Danio rerio: one gene and its partner. The protein of the gene in region 1 binds, or shares a complex with, the protein of each later gene. Links are inferred from orthologs where the notes say so. Each region holds a gene or a part of one and is shown in the gene's direction. Other genes may lie near its edges.

What was found.
Region 2: the proteins of pi4kb (region 1) and acbd3 are in contact, whole or in part, in an NMR structure (PDB 2N73), measured with the Homo sapiens proteins. The link is inferred for Danio rerio from reciprocal best matches to the Homo sapiens genes PI4KB and ACBD3. Residues at the interface, in NP_001317650.1 of Homo sapiens: Val37, Gly38, Val42, Ile43, Asp44, Pro45, Val47, Ala48, Gln49, Lys50, Ala51, Cys52, Glu54, Val55, Leu56, Val59, Lys60, His63; in NP_073572.2 of Homo sapiens: Gln245, Ile246, Ala249, Leu250, Gln253, Thr254, Gln257, Phe258, Tyr261, Gln265, Tyr266, Leu276, Leu280, Gln283, His284, Gln287, Tyr288, Gln291, Leu292, Val295.

What each region holds. Positions count from the first base shown.
Region 1 is NC_133191.1:42,588,674-42,592,504, forward strand, and holds part of pi4kb (phosphatidylinositol 4-kinase beta), read left to right. Parts: intron 1-974; coding exon 975-1,019; intron 1,020-3,560; coding exon 3,561-3,788; intron 3,789-3,831. UniProt on the Homo sapiens protein: Phosphorylates phosphatidylinositol (PI) in the first committed step in the production of the second messenger inositol-1,4,5,-trisphosphate (PIP). May regulate Golgi disintegration/reorganization during mitosis, possibly via its phosphorylation.
Region 2 is NC_133195.1:33,505,676-33,508,841, forward strand, and holds the end of acbd3 (Golgi resident protein GCP60), read left to right. Parts: intron 1-501; coding exon 502-716; 3' UTR 717-2,447; downstream 2,448-3,166. UniProt on the Homo sapiens protein: Involved in the maintenance of Golgi structure by interacting with giantin, affecting protein transport between the endoplasmic reticulum and Golgi. Involved in hormone-induced steroid biosynthesis in testicular Leydig cells.

The sequences.
Region 1 (3,831 bases):
AAGCATGTTAGGTTAAATAATTTAAATGCATCATTGACTTCTGCTGTCTTTATTAGTTTCAAACACAGATTTCTTTACATTTTAAAACTGAGTCTTTGGATATTTTTCTGCTAGAGATACTGTTGTCCTAAAAAAAAAACTATAAAAAATCTTACTCATACTTTAGGAACAGTATAGCACAATTTTTTTTAAAACCTCGACTTTTCCAACGGTGGTATACCTTGAAAATGGTTATCATACCATGCGAAGGATGCTGAAACAATATATTGTGCAGCCCAACTTAATATTACTGAAAGTTTTCATGTGTAGCTCTATTTTAACCAGGCATGGCATGTTCTAACCAGCTATGACTAGTGACAGTTATTTTGTTGGCATTGACACACCTACTGTAAAAACCCATTGCATGTAATTCCTGCTTTTCATTGCAGTACATTAAGCATTAAATATCTACCAATCAACAAGTTCTTTTGTTAAGCAATTCATATGATCGAGGATCATGGGGAGTGTTCACTGGGCAATTCTTGACTATTGCTAATGCTATAAATGTTTTATTCACTCTTTTGATAAGGCTTTATGATGGGTCCTTTAAATCATGCCTGATTTATGTTAATGTGTAGATGATAAAACAAATCCAGCTATGAGCTGTGGCCTTGTAGGGTGTGTGTGTGTGTATGCGCGTGTATGTGTGTGTGTGTGTGTGCGTGCGTGTGTGTGTGTCTTCTGTAATCCCTCCTCAGCTTGTCCTCAACATCAGTCGTGATGCTTTACATGGGTTTGATCAGAGCGGCTCTCAGAGATTAGTCCAGTCACCATCCACAGCTAGAGATAAACATGACACAGAAAAATTTTCAGGCCGGCCAGGCCCTACTGCTCAAACAGATGGGACGAGTGTAACCTTGAGCTGTGTTTTTTGTCTTGTTCTGACCCCTTCCACCCTCCCCTGCTCTTGCACTCCCTCCTCCTCATTTTCCCAGGATCTGAGCTCCAGCTCCGACAGTCTCGAGCTAGAGGCTGGTACAGTAAGTCTCTCACCGTCTAAAAACGCTGCTCTGTGCGTTGTGGGATGATGGCTGTGTCTGTTTGCAGGCGGGGTTGACTCCACAGATTCCTTCAAATGTGTGCCTTCAAGGTTTGCCATCATGCTATTCAGTGTCACGAAGACGGAAAACTGTGAATTTACGTGAAAAATCGCTAAATTTATTTTCATTTATAATATTGGAGAAACTAAATACATTTTATTTTGCTGTTAGCATAATTTGAGTAGTTAATTTTAACAGCATTTTGGGTGGGGAAAAAAAGTTGGTCTTTGCAAACTTTTTGTTTTAAAACAGATTTTATTATTGTAATGTTTGGGAGCCATCTTAAAGGGATAGTTTGGCCAAAAATGAAAATCACTCATCATGTACTCATCCTTGTTTCAAACCGGTTAGACTTTTATACGTCTTTCAGGGTGTCCGAGGGGTCTTAAAAAGTCTTTAAATATCTCCAATTTTAAAAACAAAATTCTAGGCCTTAAAGTTTTAAACTTACTGAAATATGGTTTTGTAGGTCTTAAATCATTTTAAACGGGTCTTAATTTTCCCTTGTCTATGTTAAGCTACTCAGTCGGTCCAACCAACAATCCATCTAAAAGGTATCTCTGTATTCAGATACCTGTGAAGGCAGGGGGAAAAAAAAGCGGAACAAAAGTTGATGGGGTGAATGACAGACAAGGAGAGGGAGAAAGCTACAAAAATCCAAAAATCTCCCACAGACTGTAACACTTCTTTTAAAAAGAAAAGATCTTTTGAAAAGTTGTAACCAATGACTTCCATAGCATTTGTTTGATGGAAACCTGTATATAGACATATCTACTATGAAAGTCAATGGTTACAGGCTCTCAGCTTTTTTTTAAAAAAAAAAAAAAAGCCATATTAATTGTGTTTAACAGAAGAAAGAAACCCATAAAGGTTTAAAACCACTTTAAGTTGTGTAAATAGTGAGAATCTTTGCCTGAGATATTCCTTTAAGTTTAGTGCAGACATTATTTTATTAATAACATAAGTTTTCTGGTGGATGTAGGCCGTTATTAGGGCTGGGTTCTTCAGAATATTATATTTTTTATTGTGAGTATATTACAGAAAATCTGAGTAATGTGTAAACTTTTTGTTAATAAACGATACTATAAATGTTATTTAATGAAGCATCTAATCTTTGTGGCTTTAGTCATTGTTTGGATACTCTTTTAAAACTAGAAGCATTAACAACTTGCATTGAATATATATATATCGTTCAATATGGAAAATAATTATCAAGATTGCGTTTTTGCAATATCGCCAAGCCCTAGCCTTTACGTTTCAAAATAAGTAATAAGACTCCATTTTGAATTGTGATATGAGCAATGTGTTCATGCGTGAACTGGTAGCATGCTTGCAAATACTTGTTCTTTGTGTGGTTGTTCTAGCTGTAGCTTTATTCAGTTAATTGGATGTGACGTTTTCTTCTCGGTTTCTTTTTCTTTTTTTTAATCAATCTTTGTGTAGGTTTTTGACTTTAATATTATTTAAATATGCGGCAGTGACATTTATTTTGGGTTCCGTGATCATCTGGAAGACCTTTGGTTTCTTATTGATTTATTTATTTATTTATTTATTTTAAACATGGCAAAGGCAAATTCTCTGTGAAGTATTTTAATTTGGTGGAAGGAGTTTTTCCTACTGGTGTTTTGGGTGTTCTTTTGCATATTTGCAAAGGATCGTGTCATTATTGGTTCTTAAAATCATTTCACGATGGCATTTGTTTCTGCAAATCTTTCGACATGGATTGCAGATATCCATGTGTCCTTTAACATCTATGAGCCACAGGTCGCACATGTGGAGGAGTTTGATGGGTCTTTCTCCACATTTTCCTGTCCTTGGATGACCTCATTTATTTGTGTTTAATACTTTTTCCTCATTTCAGGTGATGCTATCCATTCATGACTCACTTGCTTTCCCTTGTGGTCAGCTGTTGCTAAAACGCTCTCTCTCTCTCACCATTTCTGATTTGTTTTATGTCCATGCTTCACTTTGAGTTTAGAATGCTGTGCCGATCATGCATGCAGATTGTTTTTAAGCAGATTTGAGCACTGCTCCACATATTCCTGTGCTGAATAATAAATTGGTCTTGTGCAATAACTCATACATTCATAGAAATCCAGTAACTGATTTTATTTTATTAGTTCGTCCCAAAAAGAGACTTTGGTACGGTACTATTTCTGATACACAAGTATCAATTCAAAATGATGTACATGTTTATATATTTGTTTACATACACAATACCAACAATAATTTAAATACATACATAATCTGCCATGTAGTTGAGATGGGAGTTTTAGCTTAGGGAAAAATGGCACTTTTCATTATATTAGTATCGTACCATTAATTTAATGGTACTCACTTTTATTTATTTATTTTGTATCAACGTATTGTGCAACTTTTTTTAATGCTAAGTCTGCAAATCTTTTTGCATTGTGTTAAAATGTTGTTTCTCTCTTTTCCCTTCATCTTTCATTTCCTCTCTCAACTTCATTTCTCTCTCAGCCTGTGCGTCTGACCCCTCAGAGGGAGTTCATTAAGTCTCTGATGGGGATTGGAAAGAGGTTGGCCACTCTGCCCACTAAAGAGCAGAAGACTCAGAGGCTCATCTCAGAGCTGTCACTACTAAACCACAAGCTGCCTGCCCGGGTCTGGCTGCCCACTGCTGCCTTTGACCACCATGTGGTGCGCGTGCCCCATACGCAGGCCGTCGTGCTCAATTCAAAAGATAAGGTGAGGCTGTGCTTGCAGAAAAGTATATAAAAATTATAGTCTT
Region 2 (3,166 bases), on another chromosome or scaffold:
AATATAGTCTCCATTAAACGCAGATATGTATATTAATTAATGAATATGTTATGTAATATGAAATTACATGTTTATTAATTTTCGATTTTATGAATTGAAATAGTGATTTTATTTTACTGTACAACTTTTAAAATAATAATGTATTGATGTATTAATTATAATAATAATCATTTGAGAGCTATATTTTTAAATAATAAATATGATTATTAATTTTAAATTTAATTATATTTATATAATATTATATACATTTAATAATATTATACAATTAATTAAATTTAGACATTTAATTATATTTTATATTTATATAAAATTAAATATTTATATAAAATTAAATATATATATAAAATTAAATTATATACCTATTATATATAATAATTAAATTTTTATATACGAAGTAAATTAATTCTATTACTATTTAAATATTATGCCAGGATGTAAATATGTTTGAAGTGCATTTTTTTATTTATTGAATAAAGTGAATTCATGTTGTTTTGACCTCAGGTGAAGCCCAGTCTGAGGAAGAGAAGGCCAAGAAGGAGTCTGGGAAACCGCAGGTGGATGAGATCGTGCCGGTCTACCGGCGGGACTGTCATGAAGAGGTGTATGCTGGGAGTCACCAGTATCCCGGCCGTGGTATATACTTACTCAAGTTCGACAACTCCTACTCGCTCTGGAGGTCTAAAACCGTCTACTACAGAGTTTATTACACCAGATAAGCCTGTCAAGACTGCAGGACAGGGACGTGTGTGTATGTTGAAAGGAAGTTGAAAAGATCAAAATAAGGACATTTACAAGAAGTCCACTACTGGGGGAGGGACAAAGAGATTTAAAATGAATGCTTGTATGTATGTATGTATGTATGTATGAATGAATGTATGTATGTATGTATGTATGGATGTGTGTGTGTGTGTGTGTGTGTGTATGCAAAATTTATGAGTGTGTCTGTCATGCTGTTTGAGTCCAGGAGGATTGAGCCTCTGTTTTGCACTCTAAAAGATTTTGTGCTTGATATCACTGTCCTTAAACTCAGCGTGACTAACTTCATCTTCTAATTTCATCCAAAGAGGTGCAGGACAATTGCGTGTATACTGATTAAAGCAACCTATGATTAGAGAACAGGCAACGGAGTAAACACTAACACCTTTCTCCTGGAGGACTCCCTCATTTAGGTCAACGCTGAGTAATTCAGCCAATGGCATGCTTCTGTACATTTTTCTCCCCCAAATCAGGATGCAGGACCGCAGTGTGGGATCAAAGAAACGGAACGGACTTTTCTAACAAAGGATCTGGAGGCCTTTAACGAATGGAGATTTTCTTTTTCTTTTTTTTTCTAAACAAGATGGATTGTGTCTAAAACATTTAATATTTATTAATCTCTGTGCTAGAGTAGGGTCATGTATGTGTCTGTCAGTCTTCTAACATTTATCTTGTCTCTTCATCGTTGGATTCTACGCTTCCACAGAGCCCCTCACTTTTATTTTTTCCTATTTCGTTTGTAGTCTTCGTTTGTAGTCTTTCGTTTGTAGAAGTATTGACTTTTAACCTGCACCGCTAATAGTTTGCGATACCCTTGCCTTTCAGTTGCGTCGTTTCTTTGCTTCATGCATGCAGTTACAAACAGCCATGAAAGAACTTGCGTTTCTATTTCTCACACTTGGTTCTTCACTTCAGTAACAAGCATCTCTCATCGTCCATTATATTAATAAAGAAGTGTTTGTATAGCCGATTGATACTAACTATCAAAGTCATTTACGTTTGCTGATTAACATGTTCTGTTATTTATTGGACTGTTCAGTGCATTGAAGAATATAACTGAAAATTTTGCGGACTGTATTTTTTAGTTTTTTTTTTTTTTGCTTCGGAGATATCTGCTAAGCCACTCTGGATTTGTCACTGGCTGTGTCGTCGAGTGAAATGTGTCGCGTTTATGATTGTACGTCAAAGACTGCTATCCGACTGTGATTAAACGTTGTCCATGTATATACGGATGCTGTTACACTGTGTTCACTTGATGAATAAAGAAAGCAGTGCGTTCGGGAGTTTCAGAGCTGATGATGATGATGATGATTCAGTGTTCATGGAGAAACAGTCATGCTAAAGCTGTCCAAAGACTACATCCATGTCACATGTACAGTCGATTGCTTACAGAAGTTTCTGTGTTGTGTGTTTGCTTTGTTTTTCACATTTTGTAATGCTGATTTCGGGCCTTTTGTATAGTGAAGTGTAACATCAGGCGGACAGCTTTTTGGGGAAAAAATGCAAGAAGCCGTTGGATGGTTCATCTGAAAAATTATCTTCATATTTAAAGTGGAAAAGCCAGTGATTTGTCAGAGCGTAAAGGCATGAAGTGTTTTTGTATTGGTTTCGCTAGTGTGATCTGATGTGTATGCATTCGAGGGTGAGTGTCTTGAAGCGTATATTTGATTAAACTTGCGTTCCTCTCTGTATGTATTCCTGCTGGGTTTTTTCTGATAATGGTTTAGTTATGGGCATGTTGTACATACCCTGATGATGTTTTGCAAAATGCTCATCATCAGTTAAGGTTACAGAATCCAGGCCCGTAGCCAACCTGGTGAAAGGGCAGGTTCTTTTTTTCTCACGTGGACCATTTTGCAGATATTCACCTCATTTTATATTTAATTACGAGTTTTAAATAGGTTGCATTTTTAGTGACATTTTAGGCTGGATTAGCTTGTCGGTTGGTATCATAACCACACTTTTTGATGTACCACAAACATTTTCTAGCGATTTAGAATGAGGAAAATATGAGGAACAATACTTTTGTTTTTTTTTTAAATATAAATTTACTACACCATATATCATTAGAAAAAGAAATGGGAATCTGATAGTATTAAAATCAAAAACTAGCCTATGGTCATTAAAATATTAATTTAAATTACAAACTGGCTAGCACATTCAACTTTCCTCAGTCACCCTGAAGCGACAGCATTTCGCTTGGTGTCAAAGCCTTCTTCCATGGATTATTTTCACGATGAAAATGCATGATGGCATAGCAGTCAAAATAGGACGAATGAGCTCATGTATGGGAAATATACTGGACCTTTGTCAGTAAGGGGTGGATCTTTTGAGCCACCTGAACCACCCCTGGCTACGGACCTGTAATCTAAGAGTTAATCAAATCAAATCTTTTACAATTTACAAAAAT